4 linked regions of the Lonchura striata genome follow. The protein of the gene in region 1 interacts with the protein of each later gene in a biochemical or structural test. Links are inferred from orthologs where the notes say so. Each region holds a gene or a part of one and is shown in the gene's direction. Other genes may lie near its edges. The genes, in order: UBE2D1, PRKN, RLIM and E3 ubiquitin-protein ligase TRIM7-like.

Region 1 (7,238 bases):
GAAAATTTAGAAGAAATACTTCAATTTATTCAATAGACTCACTGGAAAATCATCCTACAGGGTTTCAGAGGCAGTAAGTTTTGTCGTGTTTCACACACAGATCTGGAAAAGTTGGAACACCCTTTTAATCTAACCAAGTTAGCCACAAAATGCATGTGGAAGAATAAAACTTTTATTTTTAAATACTCTGAACGGTTTCAAAAGGCCTCTGGTTTCAAAAGACCTCTGGTGCCAATGCAACAGTTTGCTGCCAAAAATCCTAAGGTCATGCATGAGGCATCTGTTAACAGACTGACACTGATGTAGAGTATCAAGGGGTTTTTATTTCTTCTAAAATAAAAAGCAGTAGGAGCAACTTTTGAGTTATTATTAAAGAACTCCAAATGCTGGTATAATACCAAACCACAGTGTTACAAGACAAGACAAAACAGGCCTGTGTAACATGGCAGAAAAAAAAATTGGTTTTGTGTTTTAAGCACTAAACAATGAAAAAAAAAATTTGGCTAGAACTCCATTAAAATTAACACACAAATGAGAGAAGAGACAGCAACAGAGATGGAAAGAAGGAAACAAATTCAAAGAATGAAGCCCCAGGAGAGCAGGCAGTGCACAGAAGTAAACAAAAAAAAAAATCAGAGACGAGAATGGCAATAAGACACTGATAGGGATTTATTCTCTTCTGTATTCTTTGGACATATCCTAATGAAAGATATTTAGATCGAAGTTTCTCCTCTCTTCTTCTTTCTCTAAATATCTAGAGCATTGCTCTGGATGTTTCCAGGTCTACACTACAGAGGGAGTTTTTGGATCTGCTAGAGAGCTCTGAGACTATATCCACAGGAAAACATACATTTACCAACTGCACTGAGAAGTGGATTAAGAAAGTGAAGTGGCCTTGCCTCCACCAAGATCCTTGTTAAGAACCCAGATCAATTTACATTCTAGCAACTATCAACAATATGGGGGAGAGCTACACCCTGACAAAGTTAGTCCAAGTCTGCCCTAAGAGGCAACAGTCAAGTTACCTCTGCTGCTCGGAAAATATTTATGTTATTCTAAAGTCACAGAGTAATAACACCTGACATGAAAAACTGTATGTCTCCAGAAGTACTTGTAACTTTCAAGCATTTTTCTTGCCAATTCTGTTGCCAATGAAGAGACTGTTATTGTGCAAGAGTTGTTCATGACAGTCCAGTAGTGTCACTGCCCACAACAAAAATCAATAATGGAGAAACACGTGATTCTCACTTACTGAAGTGTATCAAGATAACTAGATACACAAAAAAACCTAACAGTAAAAGTCAAGCAGTCAAGCTGACAAAATCACTTCTACCACTCCACAGCACCGACAAAAAAATGAGATTATGACTGGCAGGTTTAATTCAACAGAAGACATATGGCAAAGAGGCCACCTGAGGGAAGAAGATTGCTGGATTTCACCAAGCTGTAAAAGACTCGTCACCATGATCAGATCTGTGGTTGGTGTGGGGTCACACCTGCAAACAACCACACCTCTCAAACCAAAAGCAATAGGTGTGCTACTCACTGCCTTCCAAAGGGCACACATGCACAGAAGCAATTAACTCCCCCCACTGCTACCACGAATGAAATCTCACAAAAATATGGTAAGCTTCTGATGTCTAGTTTTCAGTAGAGAATGATTTTCAAAATTCATCAGCCTGAGACACATGCCAGCTGAAGGAAGAAATGTTGCCTGCTAGTCACAAGGCATTGATCAAGTTTTATCTCTTCAGAAATCACAAAAACCTAATGCTGTCTCCTGCTAAACAGAGCACCCTCCAGACTAGTGCCATCAGCTGCTCCTATGCTTTTGTTAGACAATGAGGATATTTTCAGTTTGTTTAAGAGCATATTCTTCTCCCATCTCCACACAGATTTTCTGCTTAATTCCCAATGTCTAGGAACTGTTCAAATTCTTGCAAAATTATAAATGACAGCAAGCTGCCGTTGGGAACACAACCTGGATGCAAGGTATTACCAAGTGATTCTCAGTGATTTGATTATTTTAACAAGCATAGCCTTCCACCACTATAGCCCATTTTAGACTAATGTGTTTGCCAGCATCCTCTGTACCAGTAATCTCCACCCTACCCACCCCTCAAAAAAACAACCAAAAAAAAAAAAAAAAACCAAAAAAAAAAAAAAAAAAAAAAAAAACACATCTGCCCGCTAAATTAAGGACATACACCATGAACAGCTTTGCAAGTGGAAACCAGTCACGCATGTGAAGCTAATATTTTAGAGAAAATTAGATAATTCAGCTTTCTATTCTATCCTCTACCCGGCCTAACTCTTTCATCCTGTCCGGTTGTGCAACAGCATTTAAAACACACAACGCTACCTCAGGCAGGGTTCAAGTCAATCATTACACAGCGCGAATGTCACCGTTACCTCTACTGTACAGCAGCGGGCATTGAGAGCCAGACAAAACCTCTAAAATTTACCGGTTTTCCCGAAATTTTCACTCCAACAGGTGGAACACAGAAACAAAACAGTGGCGTCTGAAACGGACTGTCCCCACTACAGATAAAATCCGGGAGCGCGCTGGCGGGGCCGAAGCTCGGCGCGGCGGGGCCGAAGCTCGGCGCTGCGGGGCCGAAGCTCGGCGCTGCGGGCCCTCACAGCTCTGCAGAGGGGCGGGACGGGGGCAGGGGGCCCCTCCGCGCTGCCCGCGGCGTTCGCGCCTCGCCGGCCGCGGGAGGGGTTTTGCTGCGGAGCGGATCCCCCCGGCCGCCCCGGCCCCACCGCACCCCGCGGGGCCGGCGGCGGGCAGCCCGCCATCTTGTCCCGGGGGTCCGCCGGGGCACGGGGCTCCATGCGGAGCCGCCCCCCCCCGAGGGGCGCCCCCCGTGCCGCCCGCCCGCGGGCCCCCAGGCCCGCCCCGCCCCTCCGGGCCGCTCAGCCCTCCGGCTCCCGGCCAGCCATACCCCTCACGGCGCTGTTCTGCCCCGGCCCCATGGCTGCCGCTGCCGCTCCGCACCGCGCACGCGCCGCTGCCCAAGATGGCCGCGGGGCCGCCCCCTCAAGGCCTCCCGGCGGGGAGAGGACAGGCGGAGGTTACGGCGTGCGGGACGGGAGGGAGGAGCGGGCAGCGCTGTCACTGGCCCGACGCCCGGCGCAGGGCGCTCAGGGAGGCCTCTGCAGCTCTAACATGGGTGTTGGGCACCCTGTGCGTCCTGCGCACACGCGCTGGCTCGGCGCCGCCGTTCTCTTCTTCTGTCAGTTTTGCTCTGCAAAACGCTTAGAGCAGATCGCTCCGTGCGCCCTCTCCTCTGTAGTTGTGGAAAGATTAAGCGGAAAAGTGATATCCACCAAGTGACAGCCGCCTCGAACCTCATAAGCTTGGGTATTGATGTGAGAACTACTATACCTCAAAAAATTATTATCTAAGTTCTATACCTGGTTAATGACTCTGGGACCTCGTTTATGGTTGGACCTTATAGCAAAGATGTGTACTTATGTCTTTACAAAATGCTTCCGTAGGTGAGGGATGGGTTTTAATGTCTTTGAAATGCACCTTAATGTCTCTACCAACTTCAAGCCACAGGTTTGTTAGAGAACCCAGACAGTGTGACTCTGAAACAAATGGGTTGGCACAAGCCCGAATTTCTGAACTTTGGGGGAAAATTACATATACGAGGGGGGAATATGTGCTAGGCAGTTCGGGAAGGCTGTACCTTCCTAGTACCTCAGCCGGTGGGGAAAGAAAGAGGGCAACGTGCAGCCGGGAGTTCAGGGTAAAAGGAGGCTGCACCCTTCCAAACCTTGAGAGAGAAAATCCTGTGGGTGTGTGCCCCAGTGCACTCTGCGTGACTGCTCCGCACTGACTCGATCTTAAGAGGTCTCTTTCAACTTTAATAATTCTACGACCTGTTCAACAGACTTTTCAACCCACACGTCTACTGCTTCTCTCACACACCATGACGAATATGATACACCTTTTCCCTGTATGCAGTTTTGAAGCTTCACACGGTTACTTTCCTGTTCCTCACCTCTCCGCGTGCCGGCCGCGGCCTTCCCCCCGTGTTCATCAGACACGGACTGACCCCGCGGAGCCCGAGGGGCGGGGCGCGCCCGGCCGACGCTCCCGCGCCCGCGCAGAGCCGCTCCGCCCGCGGACTGCGCTTCCCGGCGAGCCCCGCGCGCGGCCGCGGCCCCGCATGCGCAGGAGCGCACAAAGGGCCCGGCGGCTGCGGCCCCGCCCCTCCCGCTTCCGCGGCGCGCGCTCCCGCCCCGCGCTCCCGCCCCGCGCTCCCGCCGCCTGCTTCGCGCTCCCGCCGCGCGTTCCCATGGCGCTGAAGCGGATACAAAAAGTGAGTGGGGCGAGCCGTGGGAGGGGGCGGAAAGGTTCCCCTGCCCTCGGGTAGTCGCCGGTGCTGCCCCCTCCCCGGTGCCGCGGGTTGTAGGCGGCGGCCGGACCGGGCTCAGCGAGGGGTGCCGCGGCAGCTGCTGCCGCGCGCTTGCTTTGCCGGGACTCGTCCCTGCCTCGGCGGCAGCCGGGGAAGAAGAGTGGGTGCGAGACGGAGGAGGGGGGCTCTCGCCGGCCGCCTCTCGGTTTCGGGACCCTGCCGCCCTGAAGGCCCCGCGCCCCGAGCCGGTGCTCAAGGCGCCGTTCGTGGACCGGGAGCGGGGAAAGCCGAGGTGCTGCCGGCGCCTTCAGCAGAGGCGCAGGACAACATCCGTCGCTGCCGTTGTGTAACGGGGCCGTAGGCTGGGTTAAGAAGCGTTGTCAGCACAGTTCTTGGTGTGACCTTTGAGCGTATCCCAGTGGTGGTGTTTTGGGCTGGTACTTGTAAGGGCCTGGTTGAAGTTGTGGATTCCCGGTTTCCTTTTGTTTGGCAAGGCTGAGCTGACCGCTGTGCAGTACGGACACGGTACCGCGGCCAGCACGGCTGGATTAAAGGTTAGTGCTTTGGCCGTGGAACAGAATCCCTGGTGTTTGGTTGCTGTTGATGTGCCCTGTTAAGGCGGCATTGCTGCTATCCTGGTTATGTGACGGTGCGATTATTTCTTGTGCAGGATTCCCATTTGCTGTCAGAAGCCATTGGTATTGCTGAAATAGGATTCTATAGAGATGGATTAACCCCACGGTAGGCAGATTTGGGATACCCTACAGTAGATCTCAACTTATTTTGGATGGATTTCTCTCAGAAGTTGGTAGTCCTGTCCCATGCTGCAAAGCCTATGCCTTTACACAAAGTGCAATTACAGGACAACTTTTTTCCTTCATATCACCTTTGCCATGGTTGTTGCATTCGACCACTATATCAAATATTAACAAATTACTACAATGGTTTTCTTTAGCAATAACTTTGTCGTGCTTCTACATATTATACAAATGGTTTGCCTCTTGTTGTCACTTTCATTTCCCACCTCTTCTTGAACATCTCCTTGTCCTCAGGTTTCAATAAAAGGATTGTTCTGATTACGATATCTTTCCAATTCTTGTTCAGCTTCTTTCTGCTAAAATAAACACACAAAGGGAGAAGTCTGGTAATCTAGTATTTTTGAGATGAAGTGATGATTTGGGGCTTTCTAAATGAGGTCCTGCTGGAATTGAATTAATTAGTCTTCATACTTTTATCATGTTGCCTGCATAACTTTTTTTCTTCTTTAGAGATGTTTATACATATCGGAAAGCCACAATTTTCTTTAATGTGGCATTTAAGAACTTTTGATAGATGTGAAATTATGGTTAGGCTTTTTATCTAAGTATCTTTCATTCTGTTAGCTTTATTAAATTCTGTTTCTACTCTTTCAAAATGAAGAAATGCTTTCTAACCTGCTGACTGTGAGGTGCTACGAGATTGCCTAGTTATACAATAAGTTCTATCTGAAACATGAACAGATACTGGGTAAGGTAAGTCCAAGAAGAGTTGAGATTAAATTGGAACTGGTTACCACTTGCTTCTAGTTTGCTGCAGAAATTACTACTGCTAGTTTTCTTTTTTTCCCATTAAGTACCCCCATCACTCTCTTCTGCCTTTCCAGGAGAAGAAAAAGAATTCTACCAGAGGGATTTGGCTAGAAGTCTGTTTCTTGAGAAGTAGAAAAGGAAAGGGAATGGCAAGGAAATAAATTTGTTTCAAATGGAAAGTTAAAATGGAGAAGTTTGAAAAGACAAACTGTTATGATGTCATTGTAATACATAAAATTTTCCCCAAAACTATGGAAATGGAAGTTTAACGGTAGATGAAATGCATTTGTATGTTGGTGTGTTTGTCTCACTTACTTTCCTGGTGTTTCAGACTGGCTGTAAAGGTTCATAGTTACGTTGTGTCCGAAGGATAGGAGGGGGTAAGATCTGGAGTAGAGGAAGTGCTGTGGTTTCAAAGTGCCTAGAGGAATTCTTTGGAGAACAAAACAGTGTCAGCAAACACAGCGATATTGCTTGGAGCTCATCAGTCTAGACATACTGTCTGAAGTTAAGCTTTTGTAGGTTTAGGGTGGTTCAGAACAAAGCCAAAGGATTTTAGTGTCAGCTTGAGTGTTTGTTCACAGTAACTTTGATAATTTGTCTGTTCACTGTGATAACACCTACAAAGGAAGCAAAGCTGTAATATGTCAGCCTGTTAGTAAGCATATTTTTTTGTCATACTGTCTGATTTCTAAATAATATCACCACTGGGACCTGTGTCATTGCATCCTGCCTTTGGCTAATCATCTTTGAGGGCTCCTCAAAGGAGGATAGCATGTGGACTTCCAAGACTGTACCTTAGTTACAGAAAGATATATTGTGCTTGGAAGCTTCTTTAAAAATGGGCAACTGAGTAAGCAGTGAAGAAGCTGATCACTGCACATGGAGCTATGTTGACCTTCGTGCTGTAGCTGTAAGAACAGTGAGGACATGAAGCCCTGCTCTGCAGGCACAGCTGTCAGCAGTGTCTCTGTGACAAACTCATCTCAAAGTTCCTCAGGGAGTTTTGGGTCGGGGGATTCTTACTCATCATAAACTGAGGGTCCTGTGTTCATTTGCCTTGTGTGTGTTTTGCTTTGCTGTTGTATGAGAGAGGCACTGAATTTCTATACTGTTAAAAAAGTTCAGTTACACCATCTGTGATGTTCCTTGGGGCACTGAAAGAACAACTGAGAGATTTTTGTGGGCAGTGTAAATTCCAGATGTTGCAAATGATGAAAGCAAAACAAATAATGTAGGTTTTTTAACAGAACAAATATGGTGCAAAGAAGCCTTTATTCTTGCCACCTCTGGAAAGTGA
Region 2 (7,717 bases), on another chromosome or scaffold:
CTCAATCCCACAGACAGCAGTTCAACACTGTGAGCTTTAAAAGGTTGGAGTTTTTTCAGCACGAACAGTTCCCTGAGCAGCCAACATTGTACAAATGAGGACACAACAACAGGCAGCAGTACTAAACAGCCTGAGAGAGGAAGAAGATAGGACTGCCTTCCAGAGCACTGACAGTTTAAATTGTCTTGCAGTGCTCACTGAAGTGTACTCCTAGATTGTACACAACTGCTATTGTTAAACTGGAGAAGTTCCTCCAAGACAGATGTGCTACTTCTCAATATACCTCTATCAAAATACTCCTTTAACTTGACATCTATTTGCCCCAAAACACACTGATTCTTCCAATAAATTAGCTGTTATAATCAAAAGATACAACTTTCTTGTATTCTTTCCTATAGCCTCAAAATCAAATTAGAAACTTTGACTGCTACAAAGTAAATAACAAAATCAGTCTTGATTATGCAGTGGATAGATGAATATAAATATAATGACAAATCACAAATTTCGGAACATAAACAAATCACATCATGGTTAAAATTAAACTTTTTCTAGGAGTTATTTTCTAATGGTAAAGCGTAAGAAAGCTCTTCACAACACATTACTGAAAATGGCTTGAGAGAAGTGCTTAAAGTACAAAGATTGAGAACTCATTCCCACACATAGAGACTGCAGATTCCTAAATGTAGAACAGAAGAATGAAAATCCAGAGCTGCAATACAAATAACCATTTTTCTGCTTAAGAGCAATTACACTTTTTTAGGCGATGAAAGCTGTGCCCTATACAGAGCTAAGACTCTAAGGCTGAATAGCTGCTTTGGTTTTAGAAATACAGAAACGAAAATTTTTAGCATCCCTTCCTTTCTAAGATCATCTAGTAAATATTCTCATTCTATCCCTGTGGCCTGTTCCTGAAGGCAATTTCTGACTGATGTCATGGAACACATGAATGTAATAGTAATCTTATAAGAGTTGGGAGATAGATAAGAATTATCATTCTACTGTTTCCTTTAAGTACTAAAATGAATCCTGTCCTTGAAAAAGTGCTTTTACCACCAGCGCATTACAGAAAAGTGGGACACTAACACTTCATTCTCTTCTCTACAGTTGCAGAAAACAGGAAAATGTCATCTAGAAAGGATCAGAAATGAATTGAGATATATTCCTGCTGCTCACATTCATGTTCAGACACTTCTATATCGGCTAGTCTCTACATTAATTTTTAATTGTGTTCCTAGTTCTATATGCAGTACCTCTGAAGTAAGAGCACATAACATTCTTGATTTCACCGGAGGACAAAACAATAAAAATGTAAATGTTTCTTGTTATTATAGAAGACCTTTATTGAACCTTGCTTTTAATCTAAACTGATATATAAATTTACAGTTTTGGAGTAACTTAAACACTTTATTCAGTTCAGGAACATTTTTAGGTGAATATTTAAGCATTGTATTTCACTAAGCAAGTTTTTGATTTAGCAAGAGCTGAGAAAAGTCTTAAATACTGTATCTACTTAATTTCTGCACTTACTACTAACTACAAAAGCAGACTTTATTCAGGAACATTCAAGAAAAACAGCTTAGTAAAACACTCTTTGCCCAAGCAATGTAAAAGAATTCCGGAACATTTAGTATAATATTTACAGTCATATATGCATAAAGGTAATCTACGCTAAGAGTTTAAGACTAACTACATGCTTGCACTAAAGGCTATTAATCAATACCTCATTATTTGACCTGGAGATGCCAAACACGTTTAACCCTATGCCTTATCATGCTGTTAACAAAAAGAATTACCATGTCGTAACTAGATATTCCTGCTGTGCTTTCAACCCTTCAGTTAACTCCCAAGCCTTCCATGAGAACTTCATCAAAGATGTCAACCTCTGACAAGTGAGTACTTAATAAATCTAAAGCTCCATTCAAAAAGTAGTTGGAAAAGTAAAAAGAAACTCCCACTTCAGCATAGAGAGCGTGGCTATGAGATATTCCTTTTTTTGCACACTGGAAGTTATTCTGGTGGCTGCCTGACCACAGATGGAGCTCTTGCAAAACATAGCCCTGGCACTATGAATCTCCCAAGACCACTAAGAATTTCAGAGCTTCCAACCCAGTTATGAGTAGAACATGTGCAGCAGGTCATAATACTGTAAACCCGAGCTCTGACAGGCTGGGAGGGCAAGCGAGGGGACAGATGAGCAGGGCAGAAATGAAACAGGCTGCTCAGAGAGGTCAGGCAATCCCTGATGTCACAGTTTAGCTAGGAAAACCCTCACTGACCTGATCTGGATACTGGTGACAGGCCCACTTCAAGTAGAAAGTTGGCTTAGATGATTTCCAGATGTCCATGCCAAAGAAAATAATTTCTGTTATTCTGTGAGTAGCTGCAAAGGCAGCAGATTTACTTGTAGGCAGTTCCTTAACAACAGTATCACATGATTTAATGGTCTGTTCATGTTTAGGAAGTCATAAAGGCAGCCATAAAAATTAATACTCTATAAATATTTAAAAGGAAACCTGAATTCTGATTAAACTCATAGTTAGTTATGTTCACAAGTCACAGCTCCTTTTTATAAATTAAATATGTGCTTCTCAAACTCAACTGAAACTGCTGATTCTTCTAGACAAAATAGTCTTTTACATATCTAGGTGTAAACAACCACATGCAAATATCCATTACTTGAATTTTCTCTGGAGAACAGGAAACATATTTTAAAAATTAATCCTAAAGGTTGCTGAAGTATTATAGTTCATTCCATGCATCTCTACAATAAAAATAAACAAACCAAACAATCTTTAAAACAAAGAGATTATTTGGCTGTATTCACCTTGTGTTTTTCCAAGTAAGGTGAAATATGTTGCAGTTTTACTAAATAGGAGAAAGTTTTTCAGGTATACAACTTTTACTCTATTTAAAATTTCTTTAAAGACATACTTGTTTGGCTTTTTAAGAGGATGTTCTTGCTAACTTCTTCTTGATAACATAACATCTTGATAACAAGATCAGAGAGACTGCTCCAGGAAGACCACTTCAGCAAAACAAAGGGAAATAATGTATTTCATAACAGCTGTCAGAACACTCTATAGATTTAAAAAAACCCTTGAGGACTCAAGCCTTTGCTAACACCTTGAACTGTGTCCAAATGAAGAATACAATTCAGGAGCTTAGGCAGAGATGTATGGTAATATTACCTCATCCACTCACATGTTGAATATTTGTACTCTGTACTAGTTAAAGCTTTTAACTCCTAAATTCTGATAAAGGTAGATAAATAAAACAGTATAAAGAGATTTGAAGGGCCTTTATACTACTATTTTAACTCCCAAGCCTCCAAGTTCATTAGAAATTGTGACTGCTACTTGTTGGATCAATTTCTCTGTCTTTGAACTACAAGTTGGAGAACTAATGTTTGTTTGTTTAGTATTCTCCTAGATGGTGTAGAAGTTATTTTCCAAGCTTATTTAAAAAAATCTATTAATCTATTTTCCAGATCTATGTGACATTCATATCAGTTTTATATACCATGCCAGTGTATGAAAACTTTTGAGAAATACTGCACTACTGGACAGCATTTTGCTAAGTGGGAGGCAGGAAGCTTCACGCACAATTCCATAGGCTGGCAGTTTAACAGGATGTGCACTGCCAATACAAAACCATAGAAAAAAAAAAAAAAAAGAAGTAACACCAAAATAAAGCACTTGGTGAAAGTATCGCAACTTGCAGCAATACTCCTGCAAAGTCCGAGGGTAATTTCAGCAACCAGCAAACTCCAGATAAAGTATTAGAAACTTGCACACCTTCCTGCCACGCTATATCCACAGCTCTAACTTGCTATGCTTCTTGGACAAGTTCAGTTAATTAGTATCACCACTATGCTTGCAGCAAACATACCACGCTGTTTTTCATCATGGCTCTAATACTGAAACCCTCGCAGGCCTGCTGCTTGTCCTGCTGCTTGTCCTTCTTCTCCTGCTGCTGGGGCCGCCTGTCACCGGCCAATTTTGAGGGGCCCGGGCGCCCCTCCTCCATTACAATCTCCCCACCGGCGCCCACGGCGGACCAGATGCAAGTTACGGACTGGAAAAAACAAGCGACCATCAGCGTCCCGTGTCCAGCGAGTTAGAGCAGGCATTAGGTCCAGCTTCTCTCCCTCCGCAACCAGCGGCAGCCTCACACACCCGTCCCGCGCCTTCCCTACTCCTCACAGACCCCTTTTGCCTGCCCCTCTTCCCCAGTCCCCTTCTGCATCATCCCCGCTCGTCCCCCGCACCCCGCCGTGTCCAGCCCTTCGCCACCTGATGTCCTTGTCCCCCGGGGGTCTCGCCCCCGCCCTCCCGCCCGCCGCGGTGTCCCCGCCGGCTCCGGCCCTGCCGAGCTCCGTCGGCACCTGCCACCACGCGACCGTTGCCAGGCAACGCGTCAACAACCCTGAGGGAAGCGGGAGGGGAATCACAAATAGCCCCGTCGGCACCGCCCGGTCCCGGACAGCTGTACCTACCCCCGGTGCACCGCACACCGGGGCGGCGGACAGCAATTAACGAGAAAGTCATTAGCGGTGTGTGGCGGAAACGTGAGGCGATAACGTGAGAAGAGCGTGTGCGGGTGTGAGCTGCCCAGGAACTACGCTACCCAGAGAGCCCAGCGCGTGCCTCCACCTCCGCCACCGAGGCGCATGCGCGTTCAGGGCCGGCCCAACACGCCCGCAGCGGCGCGACCCCCCCAGGGCGGCGAAAGGGGCAGCGCGGAGCGGTGGGTGCGGCCGGCACGTGCGCGCACGCCTCGCCCCTCTCCGCGCGCGGGGCCGCCGCCGCCGCCATGATCGGTGAGTGAGCGCGTCAGGGAGCGGGGCGCGCCCGGATGCGGTTCCGCCCTTTCCTCCCCGCCCCTTCCCTTCCGCCCTCCTCGCCGGCGCTGCCGCGGCCGCTGCTGTTGGCGCCGCTGCTCTTGTTGCCTCTGCTGTCGCTTCTGCGGCCCTGGGAGCGGCGGGGGCTGTCCCGGCCCCCTTCGCTTCCCCTCGGTCCCCGCGCGCCTCGCCCGGTGTCTCGGCAGGGCGGGGCAGCTCGCACTCGCGGCGGGGCGGGCTGGGGCCGCCCGCGCTCCTGGCCCGCTGCTTAAACCGCGGCGGGGCAAAGCCCTCCTCTGTTACCCCCGGGGGAGGGGGGGAAAGGTCTGGCCAGTTCTTGTGACTGAGCTCATTTTTAGAGCTCTTTTATTCCTTTTCGGTATATCGATTGTAAGTGCTTCTCGGCAAGGTTTGTGCGATCTGCGAACGTTTTTTGGCCTTGCCAGCATATATACTTGTTATTAATCCGGCGTGGTACCTGGTGGCGACCTGGAAAAGAAGAAACTTTCAACACCTCACGGTGTTGGGAGTGTGACCCTTTGGACCTTGAGTTGATTTCTGTACCCATCCAATGCTGGTGTGAAGCGTGACTTGGTTGTTTCAGCAGTGGGTTTTCTTCACTTCCTTGAAAGATTAATCCATACCTGGGAAAGTTCGAAATTGCAGGATCTGTTTTGTAGCGTTCCTATTTATTATGCATTTCATCTTTGATTTTCTCAGTTTTGAGAATTATTTAAAGTAAAACCTATAAAAGGTAGTGGATTGCACACACGCATTTTAGCAACTCCTTGCTGTTCTCAGGCTTGCTGTTTCGTCAGCATTGGTGTCATGGTTGCTGTCTACTTAAGATCTGATCAAATTGAAAACTCCGCATTTTGTTGTGAAAATGTTTATTGTTTTTAAATGGAACGTCTCAGAAGTTTCCAAGAATGCTTTGGGTCTTCTTAGCAGTGAAAATATGATTGCATGTGTATAGCTAATGTTCTTTCACCTTTGCTAAAACTAAAAAGAATGTTGTCCAGTATTTTCACTCTGTATACATATTAATGCAAATGATCCCTTCCTAATTGTGGAATTTTTCTTACTGGACTTTGTCATTTGAGCTACTTTTTTCTTATGTAGTAGAGAACATTTTAAATTGAAGGCTTGCCTTAAGGAAAGCACAGAGGGTCAGGTATCCCAGTGTTTTTATTTTGCAATGTTATCTGCTGATCTGATGTATCGCTGTAGTATATAAAATACATGTGTTTGCAGAACTGCAGTGTGTGTTTGTTTTTTCAATGCTTCAGAAAAGTAAGTTGAGTGTACCTAAGGGACTGCCCATGTGGTTACAGAGCTGATGCCTCTAGCTTCACACTGAAATCTAAATATTTACTTACTGCTCATGAATATAAATGTTCTGTGACTGAGGAATGATAATTTTATTTTCACTGTGGCAGATGGAAACGTTTGTGAATATTGATTATGAAATGTACAGACCAATTAGTTGCATATTTAAAAACACAGCTTTACATGAGTTGCAACCTGCCCTGGTTTAACCCCAGCTGGCAACTAAGAAGCACACAGCCACTGGCTCATCCCCTCCTCCCCTGCCTTGCAGGGTGTGGAGGAGAATTTCAGGTAAAATAAGAACAGTTTAATAATTGAATCAGAGTAATAAAAATACTGATAATGCTAATGATTATGATAATAGTAATGAAAAAGAGAGAGAAGAAGAAAACTGGAGGAAAAAGGGATGCAGAATAAAATTGTACGCTGGCCACTGACCAATGCCCAGCCCATCCTCAGACCAGCTCCCACCAATTTATCTCTTGGTGTGGAATGTCCCTGTGGCTAGTTTGAGTCAGCTGTCTCCTGGCCACACTCTCCCAGTTTCTTATGCACCTCCTCACTGACAGAGCATGGAAAACTGAAAAGTCCTTGATTCAGGCTAAGCACTATTTAGCAACAACTGAAACACCAGTGTGTTACCAACATTATTCTCAAACTAAATTCAAGATGCATCATGTTACCAGCTTCTAAGTCAAATTAACTCTATCCCAGCCTCCCCACACCCCAAAAACCATGTCACCCTCCCCCACTCACCCCCAAAAAAAGAATTATCTTCAAAGTATGTGATGTGGAGACCTGGTCCAGTATCCTGCTTTGAGACTTTCTGAAAACTCCTCTAAACATTTGGAAGCTGGGAATGCCATAGCAAAAATTGGGGGTAGGAATGCAAGGGTGAGAAAATAATCTGCCCATTTTTTTAACTTGAGTATTTAAAAGAATTTTCCTATAAAATACATAGTATATTTTTCAAAATGTTTCACAGTTTCATATCTCTAGAAATGTCTTACATCCTCATAATTTGATACCATAATATACACATGATAATTCCTTTAACTGATTTTTTATTTTCTATCTTTCTTTTTTCTCTTCATATCTCACAGACCAGGTCATGTAGACTTATGCACATTCAGGTTCCCTAAAGTGTAATTTGAATCCGGACTGAGCTAGTTAAGTGACATAGCTTGCATTACCTCTACTTAGGGGCTTGGTAGGTCTGGGGAGTTTTTTTGAGGTGGGGTTTTAAAGCTTGTTCTTTATTTTATTTATTTGCTTACCATTGGATCAGCTAAAACCTGTTGTTAGTGGAATGGAAGTGGCAATCTGCAGTTGGATTGGCTGATCTATTTCTTAGTCAACAGCCCTGGCAATAATGTCACATTCTTGAACACCTGTTCTGGGGGGAAAAATAAAAAAATAAAACTGATTTTGAAGGAAGATGCTGGGACAGCTTTGTGAAATTTTTTCAGAAAATCTCTCTCAAAGAGCAAAAATGCCAGGAGAAGGCCCTAAACTGTTTTAAAAATGTAGAAGGTCGACTCTATATAG
Region 3 (7,367 bases), on another chromosome or scaffold:
GCCACACTCTGCTTTAACTACTTCATCTTCTGCAGCCTGAATTTTTTAGGTACAACTGGATTTATAGAATTTAACTAGGTGACAGTAAACAGCAGAGAAATCCTTTGGGATTAAGCAAATTCAGCAGAAGTTTCCACATCCTACATTTATCACAGACTTTGTATGTAACTTTCTGCCAGAATCTACAGAAAGACAAAGTCAATGTAAAAAGTAAACAGCAGCTCAGCTTTAAGCGCAGGTAGCTGGGAAAAATCAGAATTCCTGCATTTACACTCCCCAGCTGGCTTCATCTCCCCACTCAGTTCCTGGCTCTACCTCTACTTGGAGTATACAAAGATCTGAGTTTGGTGGGTCTGTTATTTTTAATTTTTTTGCTCAGGTTTAGAAGCTCCCAAGAGATTCAGATTTCCACACCTCACTGCATTTGGATTATTACTTAGCTATACTGAGAATGAGTTATTTTAATATATTTTTAGAAAAAAAAAAATAAGCCAACATTTTTTTCATCTATCACTGCATACCTAATAAGCAGTTTTTAAAACTCTAGGGAATTTAAAACAAATTTATTTACCCCCATTGAAGGAAACGACATTAAACTTACCATGGAAAAGTGTTGCAATTCTCTTTTGCTATACACACAGTAGCAAATTGAAAACACTTAAGTAGGAATTACACCATGCTTTTGCTGTAGATTTTGAATTTTTCCCTATACTGCAAATTTTTCTATGCAAATATATTTTCCCCTACAAGCTTTTTGAAATATGCTGCTACACTGCTCCTAATTTTGTCAAAGCTGTTTAGGAGATGTGTGTGCACAGGTCATTAATTATTATTAATGTCAAGTGGATACTGAAATCCATTAAGTGGTTTTGAAAAATCAGAGCTTATTCTGTACCTGATCAACTCTGTGAGGGCATTTGCAAATAAATCCACCAAATCGCACCCAGGGAGAGACTTTTCTTCAGCTGTGTGCCCTGGACCTCAGCTCCAAGTTTTTACTGCTAAGGAAGGTGTGAATCAGCAGGATCCAGCTGCTGTCTCTGCTCCTCACGGGTGTTCATCTCCCAGCAAACTACAAATGTCTGCCTCAAGAGTCGGAGCTCACCCACAGACGTGAAGAGGAATGTTTTATTGCTCTGTTGCTTTGCCATTTGATGATTTTCAAGACTTTCGGTAGGGTTAATCAAGTAAACCTATTCTGTTGAGGGGGAAAGATACAAACAAAATGATGTGTCAGATGTCAGGAGGCTGTTCCAAGAACATAAACCATCATCTTATCCCTCCATCCAAACAGAATATGCTCCACCTCCCATTTGCTCAATAATCCCTCATATTTTGCTGCTTAGGTTACTGGTGTCTAAACAAAGCCACTTTTATCCTGCTCTGACCTTGCCTTGTTTCCAGAAAAGGTGGGGGGAAAGGCAGGATTCACTTTCATGCATGACCAGCCTGTGGCAGTGCCCTCACCTCTGATTTCTTTTGAGGTGACACAGAAATGTCCTGCTGCTGTGCTAATTGCCAACACTCATACTCATGGCTGCCTTATCAATCCTGGGCACAAGGCTTCCCATGATAAGCTGGATCAATTGTGTGCCCATCACCTGCTCCCTGAATTATCCACGTTTGAAAAATGGAATGGGTTTTTTGCCAGCTTCAGTGGTGCCTGTCAAATATAAAGCAGTGTCCACACACTAAGCCACAGGGTCTCCATTTGGGGGATACAGTTTCTCTGGCCACTGGATTTTGTAGGGGTTGGACCACATAAAACATACGTTTGTCATGGGTCAGGAGCAAGACAACTTTTCCCAGTGGCAAATATTTTGGTGCATTAAATATTTGGTGCATTAAGTATTGTGATGCATTAAAACCACAAAATTGCTTTGTGACATTAAATTTACTCTTCTTTGGGGTTTTTTTTATAATATTACTCACATTTAACAGCCAAAGCAGAGCTGTTAGGTCACAGTTTGACCCAGCAGTACATTTAATTGTAACTTTAGCAACGATGCAAAAGACTGGTCTGATGTAAACTCACCCTCCCAACCCCAATTTACTTTTAAAATCATAAGAAGTGAACATTGTCCAAGCAAGTTTTATGCTGTGTTAAGTACTACCTCTCCATCACTCCAGGTATGTGGTGTATCAATACTCAATTGCTTCATGTACAGGTTATTTGAACAAAAACATAGTTGGGAACCTACACCTGCTCCAGATGAAAGTGGGACTCCTTCCTGCTCTCTGTTATTAAGGATTTTGGCATCTTCCTTTCCTGGTCACAGGCTGTGGCAAGTAAAACTGATGAGAAATATGCCCTGTACCTGTTCCTTCCCTCTTCTCTCGCCCGGACACTGTGGCTGCCTTTGAGTTCTCAAGTCTGCTGGAGGGAATTTAAAGTGTGAATTGTGAAAAACACCAATCACTTGTTTTTTGTTTTTTTTTTTTTAATCTTAAAAGTTAATAATAAAATAGTTATAAAAATAGTAATAAAATTAGAGTAGTAAAAATTTGGACACAGGATTAGGACACTACAAGACAATAAAAAGCAAAGAATTACAGACATCTGGATGTTTTGGGGCACTGAACTGCCAAAAACACGTCTTGGGAGCAAAGGAATAACCCTTAAAAGCAACAGCCAGTTGCATATTCATCTATCTCATACATGATGCATAAATTCTTTGCAAATTAAGAATGTTTCTGGTTTTTGTCAAATTCTTCCCCTTAATCCTGGTGGTTCCATAAAGATGGAGAGAAGGTGGAAGAATGTTTGTCTTTTCTGATAAGGAGGCTGTAATTCTTTAGATTTTCTGTTGCTGTTATCTCTATGCGAAGAGTTTCTTGATTATCATATCCCTTTTCTTGAGCTAGTAAAAAATATCCTACATTGCAGAGTTTCTATTTTAACATTATGTTGTAACCTAAAACTGTATTTAACACACTACTTAAAAAGGATTAATACAGTATTACAAAATAACCCTCCATAACACACATAGTATTCAATTTAATATTTGTGAAGAGGCAATCATAAAATATGCATTTTTCACATTAATATATAAAACCACTTCATTTACATTAGAAGTTGGACTTGTATTGTTGAGTAGAAACTTAACAGCTTCCACAATCTTTAAATGCAACACCCCCCTCAACTTGACAGTGCTATTTTTATAATGAACCACCAAAAGGAGAAAAAAAGGTGTCTCGTGGGCTTCCTGAAATGGTGTAAAATCCTCAGGAATACGTTTTTTCTCTATGTATCAGATACTATGAAGATAACTTCCTTGCAAGACCTTAGCAAGATATGACATTTTGGGCATTAAAATGGGATCTTTCAAAACTCAGCTGCCCTCGGTAATTCCAGCAGTGAGGGGGAACACTGCAGAAGTGCTTAACCCTACATAACATGGGAAGTCTGGCGTTCAACTCATTAAGGCTCACATAGGAAAACATGAATATCTCAGTTTTCAGAGCTGCATGTAGTACACACCACCAAGTGAGGGGGGAAAACCCTGCCATAGTTATAGAGGGGAAAGAACGTTCACGGTTTGAGGTGGAGGAATGTCAAAGCTTGGAGGGAAAGGAATGTCCGTGGTTAGAGGGGGAGGAATGCCCATGGTTAGAGGGGGAGGAATGCCCATGGTTAGAGGTGGAGGAATGACCAAGGTTAGAGGGGAAGGAATGCCCATAGTTAGAGGGGGAGGAATGCCCATGGTTAGAGGGGGAGGAATGACCATGGTTAGAGGTGGAGGAATGACCATAGTTAGAGGGGGAGGAATGCCCATGGTTAGAGGGGGAGGAATGCCCATGGTTAGAGGGGGAGGAATGCCCATGGTTAGAGGGGGAGGAATGCCCATGGTTAGAGGTGGAGGAATGACCATAGTTAGAGGGGGAGGAATGCCCATGGTTAGAGGGGGAGGAATGTCCATGCTTGGAAGGATGAATACCCGCACCGACAGACGCCAGTACTGCCAGTATTTGTTTTTTTGGCACTGCTGGCCACCATCGACCATGCACGGAATCCCCTCTCTCCAGCGCCCACACCTGAGACAACATGAAACTTAGGGGACCGCGGGGATACGGACCCTACAGTGAACGGGCAGGCACTGCTGAACCCCGGTCCCCCCCGCATTCCCTGGGTGCTGGGTGCTCTGAGCTGAGGAGCAGCCACGGCAGCCCCGCCCCGCCCTCAGCCTCTGCCCGCACCAAAATGGCGGCGGCCCCTGAGGGCCGCGGCCGCGCGCGCTGGGCGGGGCTGCCCTCGCGGGCCGCGCCTGCGCGGGGCCGCGCGCGCCCCCACTTCCGGCTGCCGGCGGCCGCTTCCGGCCCCCCGTTCCTTGGTAACAATGGAGCAGAAAATGGCCGCCTGAGCGGGCAGGAGGCGGCGCGGCGGCGGAGCGGCACGGGCGGAGCGCGGACAGCCGGCACCCAGCCCCGAGCGGCGCGGGCAGCGGCGCACCCACAGCCGGGGCGGCGGCGGGCGTCGGCGGCGGCGGGCGGTGAGCAGCGGGGCGGGGGCGGGCTCTCAAAATGGCCCGGGGACGGGAGAGGCCCAGGCCCGGGGGAGGCGGCGGCGTCCTCTGCCCGCAGCGGGAGGCGGGAGCGGAGCCCCTCAGTGCCGGCTCGGGGCCGGCGGGGCGGCTCGGCGGGGCGCGGGAGGCTCCGTCCGCGGTGCCGTGAGGGAGCGGGGGGCGGTGATGGCGGTCTGGGCGGGTGTGCCCGGATGGGCCGCGCTCCGTCACCCCGGGGCCTCTCCCGCCGGAGCCGCCCGGATCCTCCGCTGCGGGCTGGAGCGGGGGCTGCGCTGCCTGCGGGGAGGGCAGACGGGCCCCGCGCCCTGCGGGTGTCCGGCCGGGCTGGGGAGGAATGGTGAGCGGCTCCTTCGGGAGGGGTGGGGGAGGGGGTGGTCAGAGCTGCTGCCCTGGGCCTCGTCCGCGCTTGGGCGTCTGCTGCGGGAACCGCAGCCTCTCACGGCCGCGTTTTCCGCCCGTGCTCCCCGAGAGCTGGGCCAAGAAGCCTTGTTGTGGAAGACAGGCGAGAAGAACTCTTCCTCTCCCGCTGTGCAGAGCTTTGGATCAGCCTGTGACCTGTTCAGACCTGTGCTGTTTGCTATTCCTGTGCTGAGTTTCTCCCCAGTTAAGCACGTCATCTTTGCTCTGTCACCTTAGCTTCCTGTGCAGGTTTTCCCCTGCCCCTTTTAACGATGTTTGTTAGTATTTAAGGGTTCTGGTTCTCTGTTTCAAAACCTTTGTCGAGTCCAGCTGCATGTATGTGTTTATCTCGAGTCTGCTTTAACTGAGGAGCAATGTCAAGCTGTGTGTATGTATATCTGCCTGGCATGTAGTGATGATTAAGGTTTGTTTATAAAATTTATTATGTGTCCCGATTTTAGTGTGCAGCAGAAGTCTGACAAAAGGTTTCACAGGAAAAAAACCTGAATTTTTAAAATAATAGTAGTATTATTTTGCTGTTTCTCAGCAAGGTGGAGCCTTGATGCAGAGAAGCTCCTAAACAAGAATACAAACTTGATAATACCCAATAGTATCGTCACACATCACATTTATTTTCCTGAACGTGTTGGCAGTATTGGGTAATTTCAGCTTGGAAATACTTGTCAAATGTTCAAAAGAACTTCTAATTTGTCCCCGAGTTTTAATTGCAGTGACTTGTCAAGTCTTTTTAAAACAAACAGTTCGCTGCTTCTCGGGCAGTTAATTATCTTAATTGAGGGTCAGATATTTAGTTTAGTTGTAGTGGTCACCTAGCACTTAAACTGACTCTGTTCCCTCTACAGGTTTACCATTTTGGAATTAAAATAATGATAGCTTGGAATTATGTCTTGGGAAGGGAAAACACACCACACATTATAAAATTAAGGGTTTCTTGTTATGTTAGACCACTAAAGCACAACAACTGCAGTGTTCCCTTCATCAGCAACTCTGACTGGGTAAATGTTTGTCCCTGAAATAACCACACACCAGTGTTTTTCAAGCTCTAGTGGTTGCCATCTCTATCATATTTATTTTCCATATTACTGAATTCCTAGAAAAGGCTGTTGCAAGTGTCTGCTCTCCAATATGTGTAGTTGGGTTTTTTTTTTGAGGAATGGATAGCGTGATCCTTAGATTGAAATGTTTTCAAAACACCCTTACATCAGACACCTGCCTTGCTTGTTCTTTAGTCCTCTTCCCTGTGGGGATGTAGCAAAATAAATCCCTTGATCTTAGCAGAATAATTCCAATTGCAGTGGAGGTGTTACATTTTTTTAAAAATCACAGCATAATAACAATGCAATTAATATAGAACACAATGCTATATATTAATAACATGTTATTAATATTAATAAACATAATATGTTTATATAACATATGACTCCATATGTCTAAAGTTTGTGTTTAAGTCCAGCCTAATGTAGCTTAACACATTACTGGAGTGTCCTAAATTCTTTTTTTGTAGAGAACTTCAGTTTCCATGTCTTAAAACACTTGAATCCAGACATGATTATTGGGTGTTTAGCCAAGGTTTTGTGGTTTAATCTCAGTCTTGGTGAAAACTTATCAGCGGCTGAGTTTGCAAAAATTATTCGTGAAGGGATAAAACCAAATGTGAACACTTCCTTCATGATCCCTTTATGGGAGTCTTGTGCTTCTCAAAACCAAAACTTCTAAAGAGTTTAGTAGTGTCATAACTTAGTCGGGAGCTTTGTGTGCTGAGTAGGGATAGCCAGGAGCATCCCAGGGACTGGTTTTGCCTTTGCACAGCTTCTGGCTGCAGGTAAGATCATAAACACAAGCCTGTGTCTCCTTCAGAGTGCTCAGGTTTGTATTAATGAGGTGCTTGTTAGGAGCTTTTGGCTGCTGCATGGTGTTCAGGATCAGCTTTTGACTCGGGGAGGTCTGCAGGGTTGGATGGTCTCATAAAACCACCTGATGGTTATGGAATGTAGGAAAAGCCAGCACGTATTTTATCTTCATTCAGTATTTAAAATCATCTTGTGCTCAGAGCACTCTGGGTTTCGATGTGCAAGGTATATGTGCACATAGTCCTATTAAAATGCTGGAGCTTCTCTGCCTTGGGATGGTATCAGAAATGGAATTGTCATGGTACAGATGCCTGTTTAAATTCAGATAAATAGATAAATTTGCCTTAATTTGATTTCCCACCTCTCTTTGTTGGGCAGTGGATATCAGCAAGAACAGGAACGCACGTATCGGAATTCCTCTGTGGTTTGTGGTTGCAGTGATTGTTGCTCTTTTACTGTTAGCAGTGCCTGCATTAGCAGCAGTTGTGTGGAGACAGCAAGATTCAGCAGTCAATTTAAAGATGGCTTTTTCTTTTTTAATTGAAAGTCAGTGAGTGTTGATTGGCTTGGTGTT
Region 4 (7,594 bases), on another chromosome or scaffold:
ATAAAATATTCCTGAAAAAAACCAAAAATAAAAAAATATTCCAGAAAAAAAGAACAAAAATTAAAAATATTCCTGAATAAAAGTATAGAAATATAAAATATTCCAGAAAAAATGGAAAAAAAATCCAGAAAAAAAAATTTAAAATATGCCAAAAAATTTGCAAAAATATAAAATATTCCTGAAGGGAAAAAAAAAATATTCCAGGAAATAAAAAGCAAAAATTAAAATTTAAAAAAAAATTTGCAAAAATAGAAATAATTCCCAGAATAAATTAAAAAAAAAATTAAAATATTGAAGAGAAAAAGCAGAAATTAAAAATATTCCAGGAAATAAATAAAATATATAAAATATTCCGGAAAATAAATTAAAAATTAAAAGTATTCTGGAAAAAATACAATAATAAACTCGTGCGGTGTTTCTGTAGTGTAGTGGTTATCACGTTCGCCTCACACGCGAAAGGTCCCCGGTTCGAAACCGGGCAGAAACAGCTGAAATTTTGAAAATTTTTTTCGTTTTTTTACCCTTTTTACCCCCAAAAAATAACCGAAAAAACCCCAAAATCTCCCCCAAAAAAAACCCAAAAAATGAAATTATTGTGTGGAGGAGGAGAGGAGGAGTTGGAGTCGCGCGTTTCTGCTCCTGGGGGGAATAATTTGAATTATTTGGGGTTTTTTTGGGGGGGTGAGTTGGGATCGCGGCCAAAATCCGCTCCTGATTTTGGGGGTTTCAGGTTGTTCCAAAAAAAACTCCAAAAAAAACCCAAAAACCCCCAAAAAAATCCAAAAAAATCCCCCCCAAAAAAAACCCCAAAAAACCCAAAATCCTCCAAAATCCCCCAAAAACCCCTTAAAATAACCCAAAAATAACCCGTAAAATCTCCAAAAAAACCAAAAAAATTCCCAAAACCCCCAAAAAACCAAAAAAAAACCCCCAAAAGCCTCAAAAAAAGGAAATTTGGGGAGTAAAAAGGAAATTTTTTGGAGGGTAAAAAGGAAATTTTTAGATAAAAAGGGAATTTTGGGGGCAAAAGGAAACTTTTTGGGGGTAAAAAGGGACATTTTTAGATGTATAAAAGTTTTTTTTGAGGGTAAAAAGGGATATTTTTGGGCGTTAAAAGGAAATTTCTTGCGGGTAAAAATTGAATTTTTGGGGGTAAAAAGGGAATTTTTTGGGTGTACAAAGGGAATTTTTTGAGTGTACAAAGTGAATTTCTGGGGGGTAAAAAGTGAATTTTTGGGCGTTAAAATGAGTATTTTGGAGGGTAAAAAAGGCATTTTTTGGGGGGAAAAGGGAACGTTTGGGGGAACAATTAAAATTTTGGGGGTAAAATGGGAGTTTTTTAAAGAATTTAACCCAAAAATGTGAATTTGGGTGGTATTTTGGGGGGTATTGGTTAGCATTGGGCTCCCTGGTGGTCTAGTGGTTAGGATTCGGCGCTCTCACCGCCGCGGCCCGGGTTCGATTCCCGGTCAGGGAAGAATTTCTTATTGACAAAAACCAATTAAAATTTCATTGATTTGTTCATTTCTTTTAATCTCTTTTTAGTGAAACATCTCCTAAGCCCCGAAATTTCCCTTTTTCTCCTCTTTTTGTGCTTCTCGCTCCGTTAGCGAGCGATAAATAAATGAGTAAATAAGAAATAAGCAATAATTTTTTTTATTAATTTTATTTATTAAATTTATTGAATGTATTCATTTATATGAAAGGCGTTTACCGGCTGTGCTAAAATAACTGCATTTATAATAAAGATATATATAATGATAAAAATAATATTAACATTATATTACATTACATTATATTGTATTATATTATATTACATGACAATATAATGCAGTATTTGTATTATAATATAAATAATATTTCTGTAATATATTATTATATATTATTTATACCACATGATTATTTGTAATATATTAGAAATAATACGTTTATAATACAATATTTATAGTATGTTATGTTATGTTATGTTATGTTATGTTATGTTATATTATGTTATATTATATTATATTTTGTTATATTATATTATATTTTGTTATATTATACTATATTATACTATATTATACTATATTATGTTATATTATGTTATATTATGTTATGTTATGTTATATTATATTATATTATATTATATTATATTATATTATATTATATTATATTATATTATATTATATTATATTATATTATATTATATTATATTATATTATATTATATTATATTATATTATATTATATTATATTACACTACATTATATTATACTACATTATACTACATTATACTATATTATACTACATTATACTACATTATATTATACTATATTATACTATACTATATTATACTAAATTATACTATATTACATTATATTATAAAAAATAAAAATCATTTTAGAAAAGGGGCAGAAACTCTTTAGGAGGGATCAGCGCTTCGCTTCTCGCGATGAAAATCCATTACAATTTTTTAACTCCCGGGTTCCCGAAAATTCCGAATTTTTGGGTGGGATTTTGCCTTTTCCAGCTTTTCCCGGAGCGCTCCCAGCGCCCGGCTAGCTCAGTCGGCAGAGCATGAGACTCTTAATCTCAGGGTCGTGGGTTCGAGCCCCACGTTGGGCGGAGAAATGTTATTTTTATTGATCCACGCCAAAAAATTGTATTTATTACAGATATATTTATTGTGGATATATTTGTTATAGACATATTTATTATATATATTTATAATATATATTATATATATAAGTCTATTTATTATATATCTATTTATTATGTATATATATTTTATATTTATTTATTATATATTTATTATAGATATTTTATAATATATATTTTTTTATAATATCTATTTTTATTATATATATTCATAGATAAATTACATTTAGATTTTTATCTATATTATATTTCGAATATATGAATAATATATTTATTATTTTATAAAATATATATTATTTTTATAGTTTTATCGTTTTAATATATTTGTAATTTTTATATATTTATAAATATATTTTTTGTAATATATTATATATATTACATATATAATTTTATATATTATAATAATATATATTATTATATATAATATATAATAGATAATAGATTATTATTTTATATAATATATCATATATAATATATAATATATAATATATAATATATAATATATAAAATTTTATATATTATATATTATATATTATATATTATATATTATATATTATATATTATATATTATATATTATATATTATATATTATATATATAATATAATATAAAATATATAATATATTATATAGAATATATATTATAGAATATATATTATAGAATATATATTATATAATATATAATATATAATATATAATATATAATATATAATATATAATATATAATATATAATATATAATATATAATATATAATATATAATATATAATATATAGTGCATAATGCATAATGCATAATGCATAATGCATAATGCATAATATATAATAATAATATAACAACAATAACAATAATGCTATGATAATAATAACATCAATAAATTAGTACTTTTCAAAGGAGGATTTCAGCCCCAAAAATGTGAATTTTAGCACTTAAAAATAACAATTTTCCATTTTACCCCTAAATCCCCGTAATTTTAAAAACCCTTTTTATTGAGATTCTGGAATTGGCGATGAAAATTCCCTGGAAAGGGTTAAAAAGTTGCCGAAACTTTCCCGGGGACAGGTGGAGGAGGGAGGCGCTGGAAACGCGATCCGGGCGCTGAGCAAGTTCAAGAAAATTTTGGAATTTTGCCACGGAGGAGAGGAGCAGAAAGAGGAGAAAGAGGAGGAGAAAAAGGAGGAGATCCCGATGATTTTAAATTCCTTTTTATTGAGATTCTGGAAGTGGCGATGAAAATTCCCGGGAAATAACTTTGGCACGGAGGAGGAGGAGGAGAAGAGGAGGAGGAGGAGGAAGAAGAGGAGGAGAAAACCTCGGCCAAGTTCAATAAAATTTTGGAATTTTGCCACGGAGGAGAGGAGCAGAAAGAGGAGAAGAGGAGGAGGAGGAGGAAAAAACCTCGGCCAAGTTCAATAAAATTTTGGAATTTTGCCACGAAGGAGAGGAGCAGAAGAAAGAGGAGAAGAGGAGGAGGAGGAGGAGGAGAAGAGGAGGAGGAGGAGGAGAAGAGGAGGAGGAGGAGGAGGAGAAGAGGAGGAGGAGGAGGAGGAGAAGAGGAGGAGGAGGAGGAGGAGAAGAGGAGGAGAAGAGGAGGAGGAGAAGAGGAGGAGGAGGAGGAGGAGAAGAGGAGGAGGAGGAGGAGGAGAAGAGGAGGAGAAGAGGAGGAGGAGAAGAGGAGGAGGAGGAGGAGGAAGAAGAAACCTCGGCACAGGAGCGATGGGGGAGGGCAAAGCGCGGTGAGTGACCCGCTCGGGGACGGGCCGGTGACACCGGGGGACAAACGCGGCCCCGGGACGCGGCGGGGAGCCCCGGCCGGGCCGCGATGTCCGAGGCGGCCGCGGCCGCCGCGGGGCTGCTCCGCCGCGGTCCCGCCGAGCGGCTCCCGCGGCCCCGGAACCGCCGGGAGCCCGCCCGGCTGGCGGCGCCGCTCGGGGCGTCCTGCAGAACCGGCCCGATGGCAAATCCCGGGAATTTGGGGGATTTGGGGAGCCCGCCGGGGGCTCCGCCCGCCGCCGCCGCCGCTCCGAGGTACGCGAGGGCAGCGGGGCGCGGGGAGGGTTTTGGGGGGCGGTTGGGGCTCTCTGCCCCTCGCTTCTCCTTTTCCTTTTTCTTTTCCTTTCCCTTTTTCTTTTTCTTTTTCTTTTTCTTTTCCTTTTCCTTTTCCTTTTTCTTTTTCCTCCTTCTCCTCCTTTTCCTTCTCCTTTTCCTTTTCCTCCTCTTCCTCCTCCTCCTCCTCCTCCTCCTTTTCCTTTTCCTTTTCCTTTTCCTTTTCCTTTTCCTTTTCCTTTTCCTTTTCCTTTTCCTTTTCCTTCTCCTTCTCCTTCTCCTTCTCCTTCTCCTTCTCCTTCTCCTTCTCCTTCTTTCCTTTTCCTTTTCCTTTTCCTTTTCCTTTTCCTTTTCCTTTTCCTTTTCCTTTTCCTTTTCCTTTTCCTTTTCCTTTTCCTTTTCCTTTTCCTTTTCCTTTTCCTTTTCCTTTTCCTTTTCCTTTTCCTTTTCCTTCTCTGAATTCTGGCTTTGATTCAGCGCCAGCTCACCCAGAAATCGGCTCCATCCAGAGCCTGACACCCCCAAACCGGAGGACATCCCCAAAAAATTTACTTTTCTCAAGGAAAAGGAAGGAAAATAAATATTGAAAACTCCAGGATTCGTGGGAACAGATTTATTCCTGGTTTTCTATGTGCCCGGAGGTCCCGGAGAAACCGGACACCGGCGCGCTGAGCCCGCGGCCGCCTGCCAGGAATTCCCGAAACCGATTCCCGAAACCGATTCCCGAAATCAATCCTCGAAATAAATCCCCAGAATAATTCCCGAAATAATTCCCGAAATAAATCCCTGAAATAAAGTCCCAAAATAAATTCCCGAAATAAATCCTCGAAATAAATCCCCAGAATAATTCCCGAAATAATTCCCGAAATAAATCCCTGAAATAAAGTCCCAAAATAAATTCCCGATGTAAATCCCAGATATAAATCCCCGAAATAAATCCCCAAAATAAATCCCTGAAATAAATAAATCCCCAAAATAAATCCCCGAAATAAATTAACCCCCAAACTTCTTTAACCCCTTCCTCCCCGGCAGGAAAGAAGCCGCGGCAGCCGCGTTCGTGCCAGGGCAGCTCCGCCGCGGGGCCGCCTGCCAGGAATTCCCGAAATCCATTCCCGAAATAATTCCCGATATCAATTCCCGATATAAATTCCGATATAATTCCCGATATCAATTCCCGATATAAATCCCCGAAATAAATCCCCAAAATAAATTCCCGATATAAATTCCGATATAAATCCCCGAAATAATTCCCGATATCAATTCCCGATATAAATCCCCAAAATAAATCCCCGATATAAATCCCCGAAATAAATCCCCGATATAAATCCCCAAAATAAAATTCCCTATATAAATCCCCGATAAAAATTCCTAAAATAAACCCCAAAAACCTCTTTAACCCCTTCCTCCCCGGCAGGAAGGACCCCGCGGCGACCTCGTTCCTCCTCCCTCGGGACCTCCAGGACGAAGCCACCTGCCAGGAATTCCCGAAATCAATCCCTGAAACAAATTCCCGAAATCAATCCCTGAAACAAATTCCCGAAATCAATCCCGATATCAATTCCCGATATCAATCCCCGAAATAATTCCCGATATCAATTCCAATATAAATCCCCGAAATAATTCCCGATATAAATCCCCGAAATAAATCCCCGATATAAATCCCCAAAATAAAATTCCCTATATAAATCCCCGATAAAAATTCCTAAAATAAACCCCAAAAACCTCTTTAACCCCTTCCTCCCCGGCAGGAAGGACCCCGCGGCGACCTCGTTCCTCCTCCCTCGGGACCTCCAGGACGAAGCCACCTGCCAGGAATTCCCGAAATCCATTCCCGAAATCAATCCCCAAAATAAATCCCCAAAATAAATCCCCAAACCTCTTTAACCCCTTCCTCCCCGGCAGGAAAGAAGCCGCGGCAGCCGCGTTCGTGCCAGGGCAGCTCCGCCGCGGGGCCGCCTGCCAGGAATTCCCGAAATCCATTCCCGAAATAATTCCCGATATCAATTCCCCATATAAATCCCCGAAATAAATCCCCGAAATAATTCCCGATATAAATTCCCGATATAAATCCCCGATATAAATCCCCAAAATAAAATCCCGGTATAAATTACCAAATAAAATTCCCGATAAAAATCCCCAAAATAAACCCCAAAAACCTCTTTAACCCCTTCCTCCCCGGCAGGGAGGACCCCGCGGCGACCTCGTTCCTCCTCCCTCGGGACCTCCAGGACGAAGCCACCTGCCAGGAATTCCCGAAATCCATTCCCGAAATAATTCCCGATATCAATTCCCGATATCAATCCCCGATATAAATCCCCGAAATAAATCCCCAAAATAAATCCCCGATATAAATCCCCGATATAAATCCCCGATATAAATCCCCAAAATAAAATCCCGGTATAAATTACCAAATAAAATTCCCGATATAAATCCCCAAAATAAACCCCAAAAACCTCTTTAACCCCTTCCTCCCCGGCAGGGAGGACCCCGCGGCGACCTCGTTCCTCCTCCCTCGGGACCTCCAGGACGAAGCCACCTGCCAGGAATTCCCGAAATCCATTCCCGAAATAATTCCCGATATCAATTCCCGATATAAATCCCCGAAATAATTCCCGATATAAATCCCCGATATAAATCCCCGAAATAAATCCCCGATATAAATCCCCAAAATAAAATCCCGGTATAAATTACCAAATAAAATTCCCGATATAAATCCCCAAAATAAACCCCAAAAACCTCTTTAACCCCTTCCTCCCCGGCAGGGAGGACCCCGCGGCGACCTCGTTCCTCCTCCCTCGGGACCTCCAGGACGAAGCCGCCTGCCAGGAATTCCCGAAATCCATTCCCGAAATAATTCCCGATATAAATCCCGATATCAATCCCCGAAATAATTCCCGATATCAATTCCCAATATC

The links.
Region 2: the proteins of UBE2D1 (region 1) and PRKN form a complex in vitro, tested with the Homo sapiens proteins (3 studies listed by BioGRID). The link is inferred for Lonchura striata from reciprocal best matches to the Homo sapiens genes UBE2D1 and PRKN.
Region 3: the proteins of UBE2D1 (region 1) and RLIM form a complex in vitro, tested with the Homo sapiens proteins (5 studies listed by BioGRID). The link is inferred for Lonchura striata from reciprocal best matches to the Homo sapiens genes UBE2D1 and RLIM.
Region 4: the proteins of UBE2D1 (region 1) and E3 ubiquitin-protein ligase TRIM7-like form a complex in vitro, tested with the Homo sapiens proteins (3 studies listed by BioGRID). The link is inferred for Lonchura striata from reciprocal best matches to the Homo sapiens genes UBE2D1 and TRIM7.

Annotation. Positions count from the first base shown.
Region 1 is NC_134609.1:2,764,896-2,772,133, forward strand, and holds the start of UBE2D1 (ubiquitin-conjugating enzyme E2 D1), read left to right. Parts: upstream 1-4,226; 5' UTR 4,227-4,310; coding exon 4,311-4,334; intron 4,335-7,238. Other genes in the region: CISD1 (CDGSH iron-sulfur domain-containing protein 1), read right to left, coding at 2,949-2,979.
Region 2 is NC_134605.1:36,999,494-37,007,210, reverse strand, and holds the start of PRKN (E3 ubiquitin-protein ligase parkin), read left to right. Parts: upstream 1-4,714; 5' UTR 4,715-4,812; coding exon 4,813-4,819; intron 4,820-7,717. Other genes in the region: PACRG (parkin coregulated gene protein), read right to left, coding at 3,889-4,095. UniProt on the Homo sapiens protein: Functions within a multiprotein E3 ubiquitin ligase complex, catalyzing the covalent attachment of ubiquitin moieties onto substrate proteins. Substrates include SYT11 and VDAC1.
Region 3 is NC_134616.1:16,784,964-16,792,330, reverse strand, and holds the start of RLIM (E3 ubiquitin-protein ligase RLIM), read left to right. Parts: upstream 1-4,367; 5' UTR 4,368-4,490; intron 4,491-7,367. UniProt on the Homo sapiens protein: E3 ubiquitin-protein ligase.
Region 4 is NC_134631.1:326,533-334,126, forward strand, and holds the start of E3 ubiquitin-protein ligase TRIM7-like, read left to right. Parts: upstream 1-4,572; 5' UTR 4,573-4,587; coding exon 4,588-4,661; intron 4,662-7,594. UniProt on the Homo sapiens protein: E3 ubiquitin-protein ligase that have both tumor-promoting and tumor-suppressing activities and functions in several biological processes including innate immunity, regulation of ferroptosis as well as cell proliferation and migration.